3 linked regions of the Elephas maximus indicus genome follow. The protein of the gene in region 2 interacts with the protein of the main gene of each other region in a pairwise test. Links are inferred from orthologs where the notes say so. Each region holds a gene or a part of one and is shown on either strand. Other genes may lie near its edges.

Region 1 (7,427 bases), on a different chromosome or scaffold from region 2:
TGGTGATGCAGTGGTTAAGAGATATGGAGAGCTACAGCTGCTAACCAAAACGTTAGCAGTTCGAATCCACCAATCACCCCTTGGAAACGATGGGGGCAGTTCTACTCTGTCCTATAGGGTCACTATGAATTGGAATTGACTCAACAGCAACGGGTTTGTTTTTTGGTAGTCTGTTTAGTGTGCAATAGCATTATATCTTTAAAAAAGTACATACCTTTAAAAAATACTTTATTGCTAAAAAGAAAAATGCTAACCATCATCTGAGCCTTCACTGAGTCGTAATAGTCTATTTTGCTGGTGGATGGTCTTACTTCAATATTGATGGCTGCTGACTGATCAGGGTGGTGGTTGTTGAAGGTTGGGGTGGCTGTGGCAAATTCTCAAAATAAGACAACAATGAAGTTTGCCCCATCAATTAACTCTTCCTTTCATGAAAGAGTTCTCTGTAGCATGTGATGCTGTTTGATGGCATTTTACCTATAGTAGAACTTTTTTCAAAATTGGAGTCAATCCTCTCAAACCCTGCTGCTGCTTTATCAAACAAGTTTAGGTAATATTCTAAACCCTTTGTTGTCATTTCAACAATGGTCACAGCATCTTCACCAGGAGTAGATTCCATCTCAAGAAACCACTTTCTTTGCTCATCCGTAAGAGGCAACTCCTCATCAGTTAAAGTTTTATCATGGGATTACAGCAATTCAGTCACACCTCCAGGCTCCACTTCTAATTGTAGCTCTCTTGTTATTTCCACTACATTTACTGTTGCTTCCTCCACTAAGTCTTGAACTCCTCGAAGTCAAGCATGAGGGTTGGTATCAACTTCTTCCAAACTTCTGTTAATGTCGATATTTTCACCTCCTCCCATGAATCATGAATGTTCTTAATAGCATTTAGAATGGTGAATCCTTTCTAGGAGGTTTTCAATTGACTTTGCCCAGATCCATCAGAGGAATCACTATCTATGGCAGCTATAGCCTTCAAACTGTGTTTCTTAAATAATAAAACTTGAAAGTCAAAATTACTCCTTGATCTACGGGCTGCAGAATGGATGTTGTGTTAGCAAGCATGAAAACAACATCAATCTCCTTGTACATCTCCATCAGAGCTCTTGGGCAATGAGGTGCATTGTCAATGAGCAGTAATATTTTGAAACAAATCTTTTTTTCTGAGCAGTAGCTTGCTACAGTGGACTTAAGATATTCAGTAAACCATGTTTTAAACAGATGTGCTGTCATCCAGGCTTTGTTGTTCCATTTATAGAGCACAGGCAGAGTTGATTTAGCATAATTCTTAAGGGCCCTAGGGTTTTCATAATGGTAAATGAGCATTGGCTTCAACTTAAAGTCACCAGCTGCATTAGCCCCTAACAAGAGAGTCAGCCTGTCCTTTGAAGCTTTGAACCCAGGCATTGACTTCTCTTCAGCTGTGAAGGTCGTAGATGGCGTCTTCTTCCCGTATAAGGCTGTTTCATCTACACTGAAAATCTGTTGTTTACTGTAGCCACCTTCACCAATTAGCTTGATCTTCTGGATAACTTGCTGCAGCCTCTACATCAGCACGTACTGCTTCACCTTGCACTTTTATGTTATGGAGATGGCTTCTTTCTTTAAACCTCATGAACCAACCTGTGCTAGCTTCAAACATTTCTTCTGCAGCTTTCTCACCTCCCTCAGCCTTCATAGAATTGAAGCGAATTAGGGCCTTGCTCTTCATTAGGCTTTGGCTTAAAGGAATGTCTTGGTTTTCTAGTGCTGCTATAACAGAAATATCACAAGTAGATGGCTTTAACAAAGAAAAATGCATTCTCTCACAGTCTATAAGGCTAGAAGTCTGAATTCAGGGTGCTAGCTCTAGGGGTAGGCTTTTTGTCTCTGTAGGCTCTGGGGGAAGGTCCTTGTCATCAATCTCGCCCTGGTTGAGGAGCTTCTCACCACAGGGACCCCAGGTCCAAAGGATGCACTGTTCTCCTGGCTCTTGCTTCTCGGTGGTATGAGGTCCCCCTGTCTCTCTGCTCTTTTATATCTTAGACTAGATTGGCTTAAACTGTAGATTAATCTTGTAGAGTCAGTCTACATAACTACCGCTAATCCCATCTCATTAACATCATAGAGACAGGATTTACAACACATAGGAAAATCACATCAGATTACAAAATTGTGGTCAATCAACACAATACTGGGAATCATGATCTAGCTAAGTTGACATATTTTTGGGAGACACAATTCAATCTGTGACAGGGAACGTTGTCATTGGCTTGATCTTCTATCTAGACCACTAAAACTTTCTCTGTGTCAGCAGTAAAGCTATTTCCCTTTGGAAACCCTGGTGGCAGAGTAGTTAAGTGCTATGGCTGCTAACCAACAGGCCAGCAGTTCAAATCCTCCAGGTGCTCCTTGAAAATTCTATGGGGCAGTTCTACTTTGTCCTATGGGGTCGCTATGAGTTGGAATCAACTCGATGGCAGTTGATTTTAGTTTTTGGTATCATTCCTGTGTTCACTCGAGTAGCACTTTCGATTTCCTTTAAGAACTTTTCCTTCACATTCACAACCTGGCTAACTGGCGCAAAAGGCCTACCTTTAGGCCTGTCTTGGCTTTCGTCATGCCTTCCTCACTAAGCCTAATCATTTCTGGCTTTTTATTTAAAGTGAGAAATGTGTAACTCTTCTTTTCACTTGAACACTTAAAGGCCATTGTAGGGTTATTAATTGACCTAATTTCAATATTGTCATGTCTCAGGGAATAGGTAGGTCCTAGGAGAGGGAGAGAGATGGGGCAACGGCCAGTCGGTGGAGCAGTCAGAACACACACAACATTTATCGATTAAGTTCAAAGTATTATATGGGCGTGGTTTGCTGTGCCCCAAAACAATTACAGTAGTAACATCAAAGATCACTGATTACAGATTAGCATAACAGATACAGTAAAAATAAAAGTTTGAAATATTGTGAGCATCACCAAAATGTGACACACAGACAGGAGGTCATCACATACTGTTGGAAAAATGGCTCCAATAGACTTGCTCCATGCAGGGTTGCCACAAACCTTAAATTTGTAAAAAAAAAAAAAAAACGCAGTATCTGTGCAGTGCAATAAAGCAAAGCACAGTAAAAGTAGGCATGCCTGTATTTGTTTTTTTTATTTTTTAAAAATAGACTATTGAAGTATAATATAATTTACATACAGTAAAAATGTATTCACTTTATGTGTAGCATTCAATGAGTTTGGTTTTTTTGTTTGTTTTTTGGTTGTTTGCTTTTTGGTATGTTAGGTGAAAGCCTACAGAGCAAATTATATTCCCATTTCATAGTTTGCACCATAAATCGCTTCATGGTCTTGGTTTCATTCCCCAGCACATGTCATGCACTCTCCCCATTTCTGCTCTGGGTTTTCTGTTTCCTTTCGTCCTAATTTTCTACCCCTTCCTGCCTTCTCATCCTTGCCTTTGGGCAAATGTTGCCCTTTTGATCACCTATAATTGATTATTGTTTTTGTAAGTAACACGTTCCTCTCTGGTGTTATTGTTTATTTTATGGGCTTTTCTCTAGTTTGGCCTGAAAGTGGCCTCCGGAAATAGTTCCAGGTTAGAAGGGTATTTCAGGGCCATAGTCTCTCGGCTAAATATCTAGCTCTTGCTATTTTTTGCACACCATATACTTATGACATCTTCATTACTAGCTTGCAGGCTCCTGATGACTAGGGCCATGTCCTAATCACTCTTTGGGTCTGATAGAGTAGATGTTTAATAAATGTTTATTCAATAAAGAAGGTGTGGGGAAAAACATGGATCAGGAAAAATCTGAAAAGATGACTGTTCCTTTAGTTAATATCAATTATCAATCCGTTTCCAAACGTCTTCCCTTTTCTGCATTGTTCCTTTAGCTCTTCTCAATTTTGACTGAGGGTATCTGCGTCTCCCAGAATCGGGCCGCTAATTGGCTGCATACACACCTAGCCAGCTTCGAGGCCTGGCTGTAAAAACCGCTGAGTGCAGGGAATCCAGAATCTGCCCTCAAGCCACTCAACGCAACAAATCAGGAATTTCCGCCTGGCTGCCCTGAACTTCACCAGTCACAAGCGTTTCCTCCGAGTCCTCAGAGCTCCGGAAAACCGAGGAAGTTTCCGCTGCATCAAGAGAACAGCCGCTCCACTACGGCCGCTAGGGGGAGCCGCAGTGCCGCCGGGGGCCTGAGGGGGCGCGCGCGGCCCAGCCCGACGGGAGGAGGAGCGCAGGCGGGGACAGCGCGCGAGGCGTGAGGCGCTTCCTGTTCCGGCGCCAGGAGGAGCCGCGCGCCGCTAGTGCTGTAGCTGCTGCTGTCGTCAGTCAGGCTGCGTTCGGTTCTTCAGCGCCCAGTTCTCTGGGACCCATCGTCGCCTCTAGACTTTGTTTCGGGGTCGGATCTTGCCGGGTGAGGCTGCTTCGGCGCTAGTGATGGTGGTAGAGGGTGGCGGGGGAGCTCAGGTTGAGGGGCTGGCGGGCGCGCCCAAGCGGGAGGCGGGCGCGGCAACCGAGGTGCCTTGAGTCATCTCCAGTGCTTGGGCTGTGGTTCCTCACGTAAGATTCTCTCGGCCACCCCGCTGCGGGTTCGCCTCCCGGATCACCCCCAAGGAGAAGGCGTCGGAGGCCGGTGACGTCACGCCCGGCGGGTTTGTCCGCCCTCGATGTCAGGCCTGGCTCGGGGGACGGGGGAGGAGGCGGGTAGCTGGCCTGCCCCTCCCCCACCCCGACTCGGCGAGCGCGACCCGCTCCGTGGCCGGTTCGCTCTCGTCAATCCCGCATTCTCTTTGTTCATTTGGTCCCAAAGGGCTGCCAGCCTCGTGCCCCTTGGCCCTGACCCTCTGAATTCATTAATTTCTAACGAAAAGGGAGCGAAATACTCGCATCGAGCCTTAGAGGAATCTCTGGCGCTTATTTAAGATTTCGCAGTTGTGACAACGTTGTGCTTATTTCTGACTAGAAGAGTTGCTAACAGATACATCAGATGAATCGCCATGACAGAAACTACCAGAGGTGCTGAGTTCTGTAAGACTCTTTCGGGCTGAGGAGCCCATATTGTGCATTGTAGTTTATATAATTAGCCTAGTCTTTGACCTCGGAAACCAAGAATAGACAATAGGTGCTAATGCAGCAGCAAACTAACTTCACTTGACTGAAAATTTTTTTACACACTTGTACACTTGATGGTTATAAAGCCCTGTTTTGAAAACCTCAGTACAGGTAGCCTTCAGAAGGAATTTGTTCAGTAGTGTTCTTTGGGCAAGAAGAATAGGTATTTTTCTTGCTTCCTAGTCAAAACTAGTCTGCCTCACAGACTTAGTTGTTCTTTTCCTCTCTCCAGGCAGAATGGTAATATCTGCCCCCAGTCCCTTAACCCAAACCCTTGGGGTCACTATGTTTGGAATTCAGAAATTTTTAGATTTTAGAAAGATAATATGGTGCCTAGGTGTGTAATAAAACTCCCGGCAGGGCTAAGGGACAACAAGCTGATAAAACCCACTGGCGTCGAGTCGATTCCGACTCATAGCAACCCTATAGGACAGAGTAGAACTGCCCCATAGAGTTCCCAGGGAGCATCTGGCAGAGTCGAACTGCCAGCCTTTTGGCTAGCAGCCGTAGCACTTAACCACTACGCCACCAGGGTTTCCACAACCTGATAATCCAGCATTAATATTTGTGTGGCAATAGGTTTGACTCTTCACTTTAAGTGGGGATCAGTTAATAAAAAGGTTATTAAAAAGATAGGAAAGTAAGAAAAGACCAAAATGGATGTCAGTAGAGACTCTGAAATTTGTTCTTGAATGTAGAGTAGCTAAAGCGAATGGAAGAAATGATGAAGTAGAAAAGCTCGACTGAAGATTTCAGAGGGTGGCTCAAGGAGATAAAGTATTATAATGAAAGGTTCAAACACCTAGAGTTAGAACAGCAAAAGGAAAGAACATATTCTACATTTCTCAAGCTGAAAGAACTAAAGGAAAAGCCTCGAGTTGCACTATTGAAGGATCCTATGGGTAATATACTGAACGATGCAGGAAGTATCAAAAGATGATGAAAGGAGTACACAAAGTTGCTGTACCAAAAAGAATTGATCTGGGTTCATCCATTACAGAAAGTAGCATATCATCAACAACTGATGGTATTGAAGGAAGAAGTCTAAGGTGTACTGAAGGCATTGGCGGAAAAACAAGGCTTCAGGAATTGACAGAATACCAGTTGAGGTGTTTGAACAAATGGATGCAGCACTGGAGTTGCTCACTCCTCTATGTCAAGAAATTTGGAGGACGGCTACCTGGCCAACTGACTGGAGAACCAGATCCATTCCAAAGAAAAGTGATCCAACAGGATATGGAAATTATCAAACTATCATAAATATCACACACAAGTAAAATTTCGCTGAAGATAACTAAAAAAATGGTTGCAGCAGTACATCGACGGTGGACTGCCAGAAATTCAAGCCAGATTCAGAAGAGGACGTGGAATGAGAAATATTGCTCATATCAGATGGATCATGGCTGAAAGCAGAGAATACTGTAAAGATGTTTATATGTGTTTTATTGACCATCAGAGACATTCAACTCTGTGGATCATAATAAATTATGGATAGCGTTATGAAGAGTAGGAATTCTAGAACACTTAATTATGTTCGTGAAGAACCTGTACATAGACCAAGAGGCACTCATTCAAACAGGACAAGGCGATACTACGTGGTTCATCAGAGTTGTATACTTTCACCGTAGTTAGTCAATCTGTATGTTGAGCAAATAATCTGAGAAGCTGGACTATATGAAGAAGAGGGCATCAGGATTGTAGGAAGACTCCTTAACAACCTGCAATATGCAGATGACACAGCCTTGCTTTCTGAAAGTGAATAGGACTCGAAGCATTTACTGATGAATATCAAAGACTACAGCCTTCAGTATGGAACCCTGGTGGCACTTGGCTGCTAACCGAAAGGTCGGCAGATCGAATCTGCCAGCCACTACTTGGAAAACCTATGGGCAGTTCTACTCTGTCTTATAGGGTCACTGCGAGTAGGAATCAACTTGACAGCAACAGGTTTGGGGGTTTTCTTTTTCCATATGGATTACACTTCAACATAAAGAAGTCATTTCTCACAACTGGACCAACTGAAGTTGTCAAGGATTTCATTTTACTTGGATTGATGCCCGTGGAAGCAGCACTCAAATAAAACAATAGTACATTGGGCAGATCTACTGCAGTAGACGTCTTTCAAGTGTTAAAAAAGCAAAGATGTCACTTGGAGGACTAAGGTGAGCCTAACCCAACCCATGGTATTTTCAGTCACCTTATATGCATGTGAAAGCTAGACAGTGAATAAGGAAGACCAAAGAAAAATTGATGCCTTTGAATTACGGTGCTGGGCCAAGAATATTGAATATAGCATGGACTGCCAGAATAACGAACACGTC
Region 2 (8,068 bases):
TGGAGTCAGTTCCAACTCACAGCAATCCCACAGGGCAGAGCAGAACTGCCCCATAGGGTTTCCAAGGCTGTGATCTTTCTCCCGTGGAGTGGCTGGTGGGTTCAAACCACCAACCTTACAGTTAGCAGCCGGGCTCTTAAACCACTGCATCACCAGGGCTCCTAGCCACTAAATACTAATTTGCTATAGAATTTTCCCTTCTTGGGTTTTGCTTTAATCTTATTTCAGATAATTCGGTGTCGTTATTCTATAACAGCTTTATAATCCCAAATTCAAAATAAAATCTATGTCTCTACTAATTTAAATGGTTACCCTACAATGACAGAGAATAAACTTAAGAACAAATAGTAAGTGGTCTTTTCCGCTCCTCCTTTCAAGGCCCGTATGTTTTTGAATACGCTATCTATAGCCATCAAACATTTCTTTAGCATCAGCTCTTCGCTCCTCCCGCCCCAACCAAATGATCTTTCAGACTGTTTGCGGTGCCGACAACTCCTATCAGCCACATCGAACCCCGGGCCTTCCTAGTAGCAGCTTTCTGTTCTCTCCTCTAAAGTTTATTGCTTCATTAATATCATATTTGGTTTTCATACTTCTTTGCAATTATCCTCTTAATTGTGCAAGCAACTACCTGTCCCCCAACATAGTAACCCCTCAAATACTTAAAGTCTTCACGAATTCCCCCCTAATATTCTTTCTGTAAATACTCCAGGTCCTTCTAACTAATCCTTAAATGAAAGTCTCTCGACCTCTTACCAATCAGTTCACCCTACATTTTATTAACAACCGTCTTAAAATGGAGCATTTAGTACTGCATACAACACTCCAAAATCCACGCAGAATAGGGTGGATTGTGTTTCGTGATCTAGACGTTATGCTTGTCTTAATCCAAAATAAGAATACGGTTAGCTTTTTATCTCTGAATTCTCACAAGGGACTTCTCATGAAGACTGTCATTGACTGAAACCCCCAAAAAATGAGCTCTTCACCTGCTAGACAAATCTGCCCTCTTCACTCAGGAAGCAATTACTCAATACCTACTACGTACCAAGCTCTAAGTATCACTACTACTTCAATATAAGCAGGACCCTGGTTGCACTGGTAGCCTGAGAGTAACAGAGATCTTCCAAGAAATCGTAGCCTTCTTCTGCCTACGAGGTGTGTAAACCAGCTACATTGTACATAGCGATCAGTGCTTAACTTCAGTAAGATGGTAATATCTATTCCCAGCAGCACACTGAATAGTGCCTGACACACAATAGGTATCTAAATATTTGTTTTTGTTCCCTGGACAAAAAAAAATGAATAAGCAACGATAAAGTTCTGGTAAAGAGACTGGAAAAAGAAAGCTGTAATATCCTAACTCAAACCATCACATTGTCTCTTCCCTATGCGGAAACCCTGATGGCACAGTGGTTAAGATCTATGGCTGCTAACCAAAAGTCAGCAGTTCCGGTCCACTAACCACTCACTGGAAAGCCTACAGGGCAGTTCTACCCCGCCCTACAGGGTTACTGTGAGTCAATACAGGTTTGGTTTTGGTTTGGTTTACATAGCTAGAAGTGACTTACCATATCAACACACTCCCAAGTAAAAAAAATTCCTACGTTAAGTATATTTGATTAATGTCATTTTGCTTGATAAATGGGGTGATTATTGTTCAACTCCAATGGATCTAAAAAGTTAACTGCATCATCCTGGCTATAAATCTGCTTGCTTGCTGTTGTTTCCCATTGATTGTGACCTCCCTGTGGCCAGGAGCCAGGGCTTCTTTCCTAAAGCTGTCCCCAGTTTGTGAAGTCATCTTACAGCAACCACACAGGTATAGCAAACTGAGTGTGTCACAAAATTGTCCCTTTGAGAGGAAACCTTGTCCCTACATTTCTTCATGTAGCAGTAGAACTCTGGTCCTTTTTTCCCCAAGTTCAGGCATTATCAAGAGACTAGTATATGAACAACTAGCTCCTAGGACTGCTGGTGAGATCCTTAAAACATTCTGTTCTGCCATCCATCCTGTCCTTGCTTCACCCACCCTCAAGTCCAGAAATGACATGGCCACTAACTTAGAAAACTCTCCCTAAGTATCTTCCTTAACACTGCACAATAATGTCACAACCCCACGATCACTAAAAAGCCTACCCCCTGAACCAGTGGCCAAACCTCCAAATCGCCTGCTCCAATTCAGAGAGCAGCTCAGGCACCTCCACCCATGGCTGTCCAAGCGATTCCGACCGCTAGCAACGCCGCAGGACGGAGAACTACCCCAAGGCTGTGATCCTCACGGAAGCAGACCACCACATCTTTCTCCAGCAGAGCCATTAACCAAACACCAAACCCGTTGCCTTCGAGTCCGTTCTGACTCATAGCGACCCTACACGTCAGAGAACTTCCCCATAGGGTTTCCAAGGAGCAGCTGGTGGGTTCGAATTGCCCACCTTCTCGTCAGCAGCCTGAGCTCTTAACTACTGCGCCACCAGGGCTCCATACTTAATACAGTGCCTAGCCAGTAATAAACTCTTCAGTTAGCTGTTTCCACCGGGCTGGGTCTCCAGACGACGCTGGGTGAAGCACTGACCTAGCCACGGAACGAGGTCCAGTTATCGCCATGGGCGCCCCTGGGGTAAGGGGCACGACCACCCAGACGCCCCCACAGGCCCTCTCCTCTGTCGCGCGCGGCCAGCCCGGCCGCTCGGCCCAGGCACTTGCTGCCCCACTCTCCCGCGGAGCCCCCTCGGCCGGCCTCTCTGCCTCCGTGGCCCCGGGGGCCCCCACCTCCTCGCCCCGTTCGCGGCCTCCCCTCCCCCACGAGAGGCTCCGCCCGGCGTCCCCTCCCCCAGCCGGCCCCTCCCCCAGCCGGCCCCCTCCCCACGGTCTCCCCGGCCCCACCCGCGGGCCGGCGCTCAGAGAAAGGCCTTCCCAGCGCTTCCTCGTCTCCAGCGGCCATACCGACTTGCTGAGGCCGCTCTGCTGCCGCCACCGCCTTCGCGCAGGGCTCCTCCCGCCGGGCCGGTGCGGGACCGCCGCCGAGCTCTCGGGCTTCAGGGGGAGGCTACGGTCACGACCCGCTCTGCTGCCCTCCGCGGCCGCCGCACCCGCACGCAGGCTCGCTCGGGTCTTGGCCAATCGCGCGGACCCAGCAAGCCTAGCGCGAGCTCTGGCCCAGTACGTGGCAGGTGGGGGAAGAGGCGGGGCGGGGCAACAAGGAAAAAAACTCCTTTTGCCCCGCCTCTATGCGCGCGTTCTAGCTCAGGGCGCTTGCGCAGCAGCGTGAGGCGTGGGGCTGGCGTGCGCCGTGGCTGCGTCGGCGGAAGGATCACGGCTTTCTCACTGGATGACTAAGTATACAAATGTGAGCGGCGTGGATGCACGCATGCGCGGGGCGTGACCAAGCGCTTCCGCTTTTCCTGAAAGCTCGTATTTCCTGTCTCTCGCCTGGGGGCGGGACTGAGTGGAATGGTTACTTTTTTTCGAGAGCCGGTTGAGAGTGGAAGTTTATACAAATTTGAAGTTTTTTTTTTTCTGTTTTTCGTTGTTGCTGTCGTTGTTTTGTGACCACTGTAGTTCTAGTCACAGTTCAGAAAAAAACTGCTCTTTTTCCCGCATTCTTACAAATCCATTCATTCATTGTGAATGCCTACGCTTTGCCAAGCCCTGTGCTAGGGATGGGGGTGAATCAGTTTGTGAGCAAGGAGTTTTCAGTTAACAGGGAAGGCAGTGTTTCTGGGACAGGACAATCCTGTAAGTGCAGAGGCTGGGAGAATTAAGGCTGACTAAGCATTCCAGCTTCCAACTTCTACTCTGCCCTCTGGGTCGCTATGAGTCGGAATCGACTGGACGGCAATGGGTTTGGGGGTTTTGTTTTTTTGGAAGGATTCCAGAAGTCTTATTGGAGATTAAGGCATTGGAGGCTGCGCTACATCCTCTTGCCTTCTTCGCTTTAAGCGTTTGTTTTGGTTGCGCTTATTTATATAAGGAGTGCCCCGGCTCAGATTGAGCCCTAAATTTTGGGATGAAAGCTTGGGGGGAAAGTGCTGTTTTAAAAGTAGCAAGCAGCCTTTACGTTTGAAGGTAGAGACTAAGCAAATAGGTAAAGCGATTCCCTTCCAGTTGTTCACTGGATTCTCCTGAAGGAACTGGGGTAAAGTAAATTCAGGTGCTTCAGGATGAGAGCGATATTTCTATATGGTCTTTTTGGAAGTTATAAGTCTCGGAAAATTCTGTTTGAGAATGAAATGTGTGTTTAGAATGCTTTTTTGTCTGAATTATTGTATTTTGTCTGAATGGTTGTATGTATTGCTCTTTGAGCAGTTGCTTGCAGAGATTGGGGAGCAGAGCACAGCTGGAGGAAGGAAAGAAGTTCCTGATTTTCTCCAGAGACTCTTCTTCGTTTCCTGTTACTTAAAACAGAATAGTTCAGTGTTGGGAAACTGCGCTGTTTTCCCATAATGGTACACTGATGCCTTTGGGGGGTGATTTAGGATTAGGTAGAACATATAGGCAGAGGTAAAATATTCCCTGAAGGAACCAAATTATGCCAGAAGATCAGACCCTAGGGTAGGAGATAAGGAGATGAACTTAAGCCTGGAAATGAGGGGAGAAAATTCCTTTCTCTAGATCCCCTGGAGAAAAACACTCAAAAATTCTGTCAGTGAGAAGTAAGCTGGCCCTTTCTACACTGTGGCCCCCGGAAGCGACCAAGAGAGGTGCCCATAGGGTGGGTGAAGGGCTGAGGCTTTTGGACTCTGAGAGCAGTTTTAGGTTCTCTATGCTGTAATTTCCTCAAGCTTCATTCCCAAACCATCAATTAAAAGCCAAAAAAAAAACCCTTTGCTGTTAAGTGGATTCTTATAGTGACTCTTCAGGGCATGATAGAACTACCATATAGGGGTTCCATAGCTGTGTGCCACCGAAGCAGACTGCCACATCCTTTTGTGCAGAGTGGCTGGTGAATTCAACCACTGACCTTTCAGTTAACAGCTGAGCACTTAATCTCTGGCCACCAGAGCTCCTTAGCCATCTGTTAAGTCCTGTAATATTAAAACCTGTTCCCAGCTACCACTGTGGAAATTGAGAGGCAGGGTTGTGATTAAGCAGGAGCCACCTGAGGCAGGAAGTGAGCTACAGGAGAGCAAAGCAGCATTTGGGAGCCAGATCAGAGGTTCAGGTCACATGGGACAAAAAAGGGCATCTGTGCAACATTAAAGCATCTCCCCAGGATTCTCCAGAAATCTGTTTTAAATTTTTTTATGAAAAGTTTTATAAAATAGCTTGCTTCCTGCCATCTAGCTAGATGTAAGCTTACAGTATTGTGATTGGGCATGACCTCTGGGACATTTGAATTGTATGTCGTATGAGCTCACATATAGGGAAGCACACAAAATTATCATCTGGGTTTGTCATATTGCCCCCAATAGGTTGTGAACATGAGACAGGGAAGAGATCGGGCTGGCTGAAGTAAATAAGGGTTATGTTTCAAGGCCCTGAATTTTGTGTTTAGCATTCCCTTTGATTGTTTTTCAATCTTGAATATAAGCTGTTGTCCTCGAGTCTATTCTGACTCACAGTGATCCTATAGGACAGAGTAGAACTGCCCCATAGGGTCTCTAAGGAGCAGCTGGTGGATTCGAACTGTTGACCTTTTGGTTAGCAGCCAAACACGTAACCACTGCGCCACCAGGGCTTCAATGTTGTATATGGTCATATATGTGTATGCTTAACCAATATGTTGTTCAATTCAGTTTTACTTATTTATGGACATCATCTAGCATATCATCTGTATGCAGTTTTCTGACATAGTTTTTGCCTTCAATATTATGGTTACTAAGATTTTTAAGATAAATCTATCGTGTTGCATGTAGCTGGAGTTCATTTATTTTCACTGCGGAAGAATATTCTTTGGGTGAGTACATATACCACAAATTTTTTTGTCCGTTCTCCTATCAAAGGGTATTTAGGTTGTTTCTTGTGTTTTACACTGTGCTACTATGAACATTCTTGTATATGCCTTTATACAAGAGTTTCTCATGGTGGTATACTAATGCATGGATTGCTAAATGGTAGGTTATGTAAATATTTAACTGCTTAAGATAATGCCAACCCTTGGTATTGTTTTTTTAGTTTGGGTATGGAAATGGTATCTTTTTGTGGTCTTTATCGAGACCATAAAGACCACAGTATAACTCTGGTTGTATGTACCAAATATTTGACAATTGGACATTTAGTTCTATATGAAATCTCTTGTAATTTTTCTGTATCCTTACTTAGCTTTTTATGTTTGGGTATTTTGTCTTCTTAGCTTCCCAGCTTGAGTGCAGTCATTATATTCTCTCTTTCCCAGCATCTGGCATTGTGCTATGTGAATAGTAGGCAGTCAATGAATATCTGCTGAGTCAATGAAATGGTTATTACTATTTCTGTAATGTATATCCACAGTCGCTGATACAGGTCTCTGTACTCAGGCTCCCAATAAATGCAGGTGATAACTGACCATAGAGATAACCTGAATTGAATCAGTCACCACCCTTACCAAGAACACAGTTTCTCCCACTGAACGTGTAGACACTGATTTTAGTTACTGCTGCCTTTCCTTAGTGAAGCCAAAAGGGCGAAGTTATCATATAATTATCACTTACTAAACACTTATGGTCACATTTATTGGGCATAAACATCAAACCTATCATTCAGAAGATCATTCTAGGGCCAGGTGTTCTATAAGTAATCACCTTTAAACTTCTGTTAGTCAGGAGACATGTTACCCTTTTCTTTTTAATTGGAGCTGATTAAGGTACTGAACTAGAGTAAATTGAACTTCATGCTTATCCTGCCTTCTGTCCTACATTGAGGTGAACTTGATGTTAATTTGAGGTGAATAACCTTGAATCAGAAAATACTGCTTAATGGTGCTATGCGAAAGCTGAGAATATGTGAAAGACAGAAGCAGTGTATGGAGACACCTTTGACCCAGCCAGTTGCAAGGAGAAAGATGAGGCTGTGCAGTTCAAAGGTTACTTTCCACCTTCACTGACACCTGAAGAAGTATTAGAGTCGTAGTGTAGTTCTGAGAGAGGCAGTCATCCTCAATTACCTACCATGTGCTCTTTCTCCCTGAAAGCCCGTCTGGCTAGAACTCATGATATGGAAAGATCCTAAGAATGACAAAGGGGCTGTCTTAGTCTCTTAGTGCTACTATAACAGCAATACCACAAGTGGGTGGCTTTAATGAACAAAAAATTTATTTTCTCACGGTTTAGTTGCCAGCTTAGGGAAAGTCTCTCTGTCTCTGCTCTGGAAGAAAATCCTTGACCTAGCTTCTCTAGCTTTCTTCTTGGTGTTCGTTGGAGATCTCCATGTGGCATCTCTCATTCCCCCGTTCACTCTTGCTTGCTTGTCTGTGCTTCTGTGCCTTTTCTATATCTAAAAAGTGAGTAGGTTCAAGACACACCCCACACTGATAATGCCGTCATTAACATAACAAAGAAAACCCTATGACCAAATGGGACTATATTCTCAGGTATAGGGGTTAGGACTCCAACGCATTTTTTGGGTGGACAGAATTCAACCTGTAACAAGAGGATTCTAAGTGAATGGGAAATGGGACAAAGACTGTGAGTCTTGTAAATAAATTAGATGAAACCTGTGTTTCGTCATGTTCTTCTTTTATAGTCAGTATAAATCATTTCGAAGATTTCTGTCATTCAGCTATCCTCATGGGAACCAAAGAAATGGAGATCTAAGTCCCTCCTTGGGTGAGAATTTCAAAAGAGAAGTTATGTCTTTCCATGCAGACCGAATAGGGGCCAGTCGGTCAGCTCCACCTCCCTTCCACTGGTTAAACATAAAGATATGTTTTTGTAGACAAGGGAAACTGTCACCCGCATGTGAAGATGACAGAGGAGAAAGGGATAATATTCTTACTGTGTACGTTTGAGTGAGACATTCTTAGCACCAGCTGAGCAAAACACTTCCACCCGTCTTATCAGCTGCACATCCACTGAGACTTTGAAATGTTTTTGCCTTGCTATGGGGCGCACATCCAACCTTTCTTCAGAGAAATTGCACCTTGAAGGCA
Region 3 (7,616 bases), on a different chromosome or scaffold from region 2:
TCAGGCATCTGTTATATCATAGCAGGAACCGGAAATTATAGTTCCCTGTTGTAGAGTCTTATTGATAAATGAGGAACTTCCACCCTAGTCATCTGTTTGGAAGGATTCAAATACTTGCTTTGCACCCTGCTCTCTGCCCCAGGGCAAGCCTGGATTTCCTGGTAGGGCTAAGACGAGTTCGAGACTCTAGGATTTTATTCCTGGCTGACGCTGAACTGTCGTTTTAGACGGAGTCCTCTGGACTGGCAAGGAGTGAGGGGTTCTAAATCCAGTGGCGCTCTTCCTCCTTAGCCCTTCAGGAACACAGGACACGCAGCAGTCTCTGCTGTCACCTCTAACCTTGAGGTGTTACTAAACTAAACCCTAAAAATAAGGAGACAGTAAATCTAGACATTCCAATACTAAACTTGATTTACAACTCGGACATTGTAATAATGGTCTCTTCTCTCAAGGCTAAGACGGTAGTTTTAGAAAAGCTTGTTAAAATCATAAGTTGCTTTGAAGTACCAAGAAAATCATCAGCCAGTCTTGTGCTGAAAATCAATGTGCACAGACGTGGTTATTACTCACACAGAAATAAAGAACACCATTCTCTGCATATCCATTTCATCTTCACAAATATTACCACGTTGAAAAATCTAAGCCACCTGAGCTGGAGTCTCTCCCTAAGCTGATTATTACTTTTAGTTAAAAGCAACTAGCACATATAATTAATCCTGTTGTATTTTTTTACCTGGACGGATTTGAAATACTAGACATGTTACAGTAATGCATCACTAGAAACAATTACTCTATCCTATAGGAAGCAATATAAAAAACATGTTTAGCAAATAAAATCTACTTGATAGATTTATAAAAACATCTTAGCTAATTAAAGGCAGAAAGTCTGCTTCTAGATTCCCCAAATTTGAGATAAAATAAACTTCAGAGTTTTGGGATCAATTGCAACATACAAACCAAACTACTGTACAAACATGCATGTACGCATCATACAAAGGCATGCAAATCCACTCAGTCACAGACTTCTTCCCCACAGCAGGCGATCAGTAGAAAGGAGTTCCTTACCAACAGTCCTCAGTCCTATTCAAAACCACCTAAGTATTATAACATTTTATAACTAACCCTGCTGGATGGAGATATAACATCCAACTGTGACTAAATTTTTATGGAGACAAGTGATTGTAACACTTGTGCTAGTTTGGCAGTACTTGAAAGGCAACAGAGATACCAAATGTTACGGCTGACCAACAGACATCTCCCTGGAAAAAATCTCACTGCAGCAAAGGCAAAGCAGCTGTGAGTGGTAGGAAAAGGAAAGTTTGTTCTCCTACCTTTTTTCCCATCCACTAAACCAACCAGTAGCTGTGGAGACAATTCTCACTCCTGGCCATCCCATGTGTTTCAGAGTAATAATTTAATTTATTGTTCACAGTTTTGGGATCAGTTGCAATGTACAAACCTAACTACTATACTAACAGGCATGTACGCATCATACACAGGCACACAAATTCACTCAGGCACAGACCTCTTCCCCACAACAGTAAGTGGAAAAGGGTTCCTCCATAGGTTTTTCAATGGCTGTGATCTTTCAGAAGTACATCACTGGGGCTTTCTTCCAAGGCACCTCTGGGCAGATTCAAACCACCAACCTTTCTGATAGTAGCTGAGTGCTTAACTGTGTGCACTACCCAGGGGCTCCTTCATCCACTGAAGTCACAAGACGTACATTCTGAACACGGCAGAGAAGATGAACCAAGGCTGTGACCAAATTGACCAGTATTAAACAAGAACGCGCATCGTGAGCTCAATACTGATTTGATCTCTCACAATTCAGTTCTTCACAAAACACAAAAGCACCTTTTCGTGCTGGTCAGAAAAGTGCCAAATAGATTAGCCTCAATCTTGCCTAAGGAAATCTGTCCTAGGGTGTGCTGAGGACACCCAGTCCTCCCTGGCCCTTATGCTGCTGGACAACAAAACTGTCAGCCGTTGAGCCTGCCTGGAGGATCAGACACTTGTCCCTCAGGATTTCAACAGAACCAGCCAGGTTACAGGCAACAAAATGGCCTTCACAAACGTTTAAGAAGTCACATAATGAGCTTACCCAGTCAGAGACTTCCCATCTTTTACCTCAACCCATAGTTGATCTACATATGGACAGTCTCTGATTGTTATTAATACCAACAATAACAAAATAATAGTACCCAGGAGTCTCTAGGTGATGCAATCGGCTTTTTAAGGCAAGTCTCCAGACCTAGACACCAGCACATAGCTATCTTTTAAATATATTTTCAGGGAAGATATATCCTTTTCTTCAGGAACCTATTCCATTATTTTCTAAACTTCATGGAAGAAAAAGCTGTCTGCTCAGCATCTCTTCTGTGACACGGCATCTTGTGCTCTCGGTATAAAAGTTTTTGGAAATTCGGACACAACTGTTAAATTACTCCTCAGTCTTTCGGATTTTTGTGCCAACTGGAGCTGGACCACCCCTTGTAGGTGAAAACAAAGCAGCAGCCTAAGCCCAAGCCTGTAGCTCCCCAGGAAAACAGACATCCTAGCGCTGTGACTTTCCTCACCCTCATCCACGAGCCTCATACCTGGCCTTCCTCAGCAATGACAAAGGCATTTGTGACTTTCAGGCTGAGGTGCAATCTCCGAAATAACCAGCCTCTGCCCAGAGTTCCTAAAAGTTTACCGAAAAAAATGTTCCTGGCTGAGGCTGCGTAGCCCGGGCTGGGTTTACAGGAGGATGCCCTGCCTGGGCAAGCTCCCCGAGGCGACCCACACACAATCCCCCACCCACCCTCACCCGGGCCCACCGGTTGCAGCCACATAAAGGCGGAGCCCCAGGCACAGCGACCACCCCCAGGACCCAGGTTCGGCCTCAGACACACAGACACAGACACACACAGGCTTGCAGTCACGCACACCGTCACATGGACCTGCCCACTCGGGGCCACCCGTACAGTCACACCGACCGAAGCAGCCGCGCACCCTACACACGCCCCCAGCCCACTTCCCACGGCCTCGCCCACCCCTCACCTGCCGTGGTCAGCCCACGGCCCTTCCCCTTCAGGCCCGGCTCGGGCCGGGGAGGCGGCTGGCCGGGGAGTCGGGGGTCCGGGCCCGGCACGAGCGCTCAGGACCCGCAGGGCGGACGGCGGCAGGGGCGCGCTGCAGGGCCGGCCTCCGAGGGGCGGGGCGCGCAGCCGAGCGAGCCTGGGCCACCGCCTCCGCCGCCGCGCTCCCCCTCCCGCACCCTCCGCACAGCGGGCGCCGGCCTTGCGCTTCCGGGTTTGGCGGCGGGCGGGGCCACGTCACGAGGAAGGGGCGGGCCGCGTGGCTCCGGCGGTCTCCATGGTGACGCGGCGGGTTGGCGCCAGGGGTCGGAGGCTCCTAGACGCTCGCGGGATCCCGCCTAAGGCTGGGGCAGCGGGCGCCGCACCTGGCTGTGGCGTCAGGTGCTGACAGGTCTGTGTTGCCTCTGGGTCGGCTTTCGGTCGCCTGTACTGAGTTGGGCATCTAGGGGAAAGTCGTGGGAAAGAAGAGAGCGCTGGGTCCCCTGGGACCCGCTTCTGCATTCAGTTCGCGTCCACTTGGAGAAAGTAGGTGCCCGCCGTTTCCCCTCTGCCGTGTAAAGCTTGAGGGCATCCCCTTGGGTTCCAGGTTTTGGGGCACGGGGTTCTGTATACTCTTTTCCTGGCACGGTAGCGAGTGCCCCACCTCCCTTTCCAGCTGTGTGCTGACGTTCTGGGGGATTTCCGGAACAGGCTCCGAAGGAGCTTCCTGCTCCATCACTTTACCCTTAAGGGCATAGAGAATGTTGATGTACTTACGATCACTGTTCTCAAGCAAGGTCCTGGAAAAGTCACGACATCCTGTCAATAAAATAGTCGCAGGTTTGCATTGAAATAATGTATAAGGCTGAACAACATGTAAATCTCCCTGTATGATCTTGCAACAAGGTCCTGCTGAAAGTGCCTCTCCCTAATCTGCTTTACTGGAAGGCCTTCTTCAGACTTTGCCCTTACCCTGTCTAGTGTTCACAAAATTCAGGTCAGGGGACATGACTAGTAAATTGCGTCTTTAGTCATGACTTCTGTCCTCTCTGCCCAGGAGCTGTGGGTCCCAGTCTAGAACTTGGACAAATACCAAATGTATTTCCCAAGAGCACAGTGACACAGTCACCTGATTTTCTCCAAATCACCTCTTTCAGAATTCAGAGTCAGTCACAGGAAGTAATCCTTTATTATAAGCACCATATTGGCGTATAGGGCATGTTTCCAACATTAGAGGGCTTTTCTCAAAAATTTAGAATAGTTTAATGAATGGAATAGCTCTCAAATCACTCCTTGTATGTAAAACCCATTATGGAAACTCATTACATTTGTTCTCTGTCCCCAAGGTGGCCAGGAGCTTCTATGGAAAGCAAAGGCAACAGGGGTTCAGCCAGTGCCATAGGACATGTCCTAATAATTTATTTCCATTAAAAACCAAAAAAATTCACAAGAACTTTAAAGAGACACTGGAAAAATACAAAAAGACATAAGGTTTGTGTTAGCAATCAGGATAAAACAGAAAGAAGACTGGAACATTGGCACAGAAGTGGGAGGAAAGCTAAGAGTCACTTAGGAAATGGCCACTGGCTCAGTCTGACAGGGAGGCCAGGTACGTATATGAGAGTGTTGTATCCCACAGAGTCAATTCCCACTCATGTTGAATGAATGAATACGTGCATGCATGAGTGAATGAATAAATCCATCCACATGTATTCCTACGATTCCTTAGACCTCACATCCCTACACCTCACTTTAGTAACAGCCCTGATGAGATCTAAGCTATGGATTGACTATGCCCATAAATATTAGAAGTCCTTGTCTGTTAGGTTTGGTAATAATAATTTTGAACTTGACTGTTGATAATAAAAAAACATATCACTAGATAGCTATAGGGTCGCTATGAGTCCATTTGACTCAAAGGCAACAGGTATAAAGCTATGTTTTGTTATGTACCTACTTTTGTTACAATGTAAAAGATTAGACCCCAAAAATAATGACTAGTTTGCTTGTTTCCATTAGAAAAAGACCCCATGGCCCTGTTTGGATCCTCAGTTGTTCCATAACACATGACAACCAAACTGCCCATTTTCTAATCTGAACAAGGAACATTTAATACCTGGGAATTCCAGCTGTCCTGTAAGGCACAGCTGCCGGCAGCAAACTTTTGACCCAGGGTACACCACAGTGCAGGCCAACATTGTGGATGTTGCTGGGAGGGTTTGCAGCTGTTGTGGTTGGGGTCTACCAGATGGTTCCCACAGCACCAGTCCCTGTGTTAGAATCTCATGTGAAAACTGGAATGCTCACAAAATATGCTGTGAACACCAAAGTAAACATGGCCAGCTGGGTCTCAGAAGGGCTCAACTCCAAGCAACTGTGTTCACACATGCATAGAGTTTAAAACACACCTAAAAGACAATTCTAGATATATCTCTATGCATATATATACATCAGTGAATTTTTTTTTTTTTAATGTTGAAAAGCATACACACCAAACAGGATAGTGATTATCTTTGAGGAGTAATTGAAGGTAGGGTGAGGGGGTGGTGAAGAAATCTTTTGGCTTTAGATGTAGTATTTGAATCTGTATAAGAATGCATTCATGTATTTGTGTGATAAAAATAATAAAACGCAGCTATGTTCTACTCTGCCCTGTAGGGTCACTATGAGTTGGAATCGACTCAGTGGCAATGGGTTTGGTTTTTTTGGATGTTTGTGCGACTCCCTGGCTTTCAATACCACTGCCTTCAAACTAAAGTCCAAGCTCGTTTGAGCAGGTCAGGCTCTTGACCGACCTCTCTATGGGACCAAGGTACTCTCATCATACCAGCTGCTGCAAGGGTCCCAAATACCCCATGTGGTTTCACATGATATATGCTGTTTCCTCCAGTGAACCGCTTAGAGTGAATACCCACATTTTGCCTCCAGGAACCATGGATCTGTGAAAAAGTGAAAAGGACCCCACAGTCATGTTTGGGTCCTGAAGTTATTCCATATCACATGACAAGCACATTGTCCATTTTCTAATCCAAACAAAACCAAAACCAAACCAAACCTGTTGTGGTCGACTCATAGAAACCCTATAAGACAGAGTAAAACTGCCCCATAGAGTTTCCAAGGAGCGCCTGGTGGATTCAAACTGCTGATCTTTTGGTTAGCAGCCATAGCTTTTAACCACTACACCACCAGGGTTTCCTGTCCAAATAAGGAACATTTAAAATCTGTGAATTTAATATCTGTAACAAAACACTTGGTTTTTCAGACAAATACCAATTCTTGAAATACCTCTCTTTAAAGCTTCTCGAGGTGTGATTAACTGCAGTGTTACATACCAATTATGCTGAAACCCAAGACTGAAAATGAATGCAGCTCTGTGTCAAATGCACACTGCACTGGATTCTAGGGATCAGACAAGTGGGGATTCTGGAACTGCCCAAGAAAGATGCTGACATGGCTCTTCTTTAGCCTGCTACCTAAAGACCCCATCAAAGAGGAGTTATATACAGTTATTTATCATTGCTAATTAGTTATGATTGGGTAACTAAGAAACCTGAGTTCTTTCCCTGGGCAGACATTTCCTCTTGAGGCCTGACTTGACTTCCCTGTAAAAAGAGTCCAAGGATGGACTAAAAGGTCTCTAAGTCCTTTCTGATTCTAAGATCTTGTATTCTATAAATTTATGAGGAACGTATTTAAAAATCTTTGCAATAGCCTTTCCTTGAAAAACTTCTGTTAATCCCCCCTTTCTGATTTCCAATTAAACTTTAAAAAAATTAGCCTATACACAAAAAATGCCGATTTAACTGAAACAGTATTTTAACTTGTTGGAAGACTTATTGTTTGTTAACTGTTCACTTATTAAAATAGGAACTGCTAAGCAAAGGTGCCGAGTTTTTTGTATCATCTGCCAACCCAGGAGCTCATAATGTCCCTCCTGTAAAAGCTGGTAATTTGCCATCTTGGGATAAAAACAGCAATAAAGAATCTTGGAAAACAAGAGTGTCACTGTTTTAATACAAAATAAAGCAGCTTCTGACTGTAAGATTCTAGAGAATTATCGAAATTTGTAAAGGTAAAAAAAAGACAGTGATTAAGTTGTGACTAAAATGAGAAAAATCTTTTTGAAACCGGATAGTACAGTCCCTGCATATAACGGGCACTGGATTAGCATGTGTGCTCCTTCCTTAGCTTCTGAAAGCCAAAGTCTAACACCTTAAATTCCCAGATGAAGGATAAAAACATTTGCAAGTAGAGGCAGCGTATTAGAATGGTTAGGCCCTCAGACTGGAGTCAGACAAACCCAAGGTGTAAATACCAGCTCACCACTTATGAGCTATTTAACATTCTTGCGCTTTGGTCACCTCATCCAGAAAAAGGAAGATAAATAACAGTACCTGCCTTACAAGGTTATTGCAAAGATAAAATGAGATAGTCCATGTCACATCCTTAGAAATGGGGCCAGCACTCAGTAAATATTAGCTAATAGTATCGGTATTGAGAACTGACTGTGTTCCAGGCACTGTGCTAGGTGTGTTATATATATTATTTCTATTC

Evidence for each region.
Region 1: the proteins of TFG (region 2) and MAPK1IP1L interact in binary tests that used the Homo sapiens proteins (3 or more experiments, as listed by UniProt). The two-hybrid records come from large-scale screens. The link is inferred for Elephas maximus indicus from reciprocal best matches to the Homo sapiens genes TFG and MAPK1IP1L.
Region 3: the proteins of TFG (region 2) and SPG21 interact in binary tests that used the Homo sapiens proteins (3 or more experiments, as listed by UniProt). The two-hybrid records come from large-scale screens. The link is inferred for Elephas maximus indicus from reciprocal best matches to the Homo sapiens genes TFG and SPG21.

What each region holds. Positions count from the first base shown.
Region 1 is NC_064828.1:67,341,982-67,349,408, forward strand, and holds the start of MAPK1IP1L (MAPK-interacting and spindle-stabilizing protein-like), read left to right. Parts: upstream 1-4,248; 5' UTR 4,249-4,408; intron 4,409-7,427.
Region 2 is NC_064836.1:71,530,879-71,538,946, reverse strand, and holds the start of TFG (protein TFG), read right to left. Parts: upstream 3,139-8,068; 5' UTR 2,947-3,138; intron 2,786-2,946; exon of another isoform or gene 2,576-2,785; intron 1-2,575. UniProt on the Homo sapiens protein: Plays a role in the normal dynamic function of the endoplasmic reticulum (ER) and its associated microtubules. Required for secretory cargo traffic from the endoplasmic reticulum to the Golgi apparatus.
Region 3 is NC_064831.1:55,137,219-55,144,834, forward strand, and holds the start of SPG21 (maspardin), read right to left. Parts: upstream 3,180-7,616; 5' UTR 3,046-3,179; intron 1-3,045. UniProt on the Homo sapiens protein: May play a role as a negative regulatory factor in CD4-dependent T-cell activation.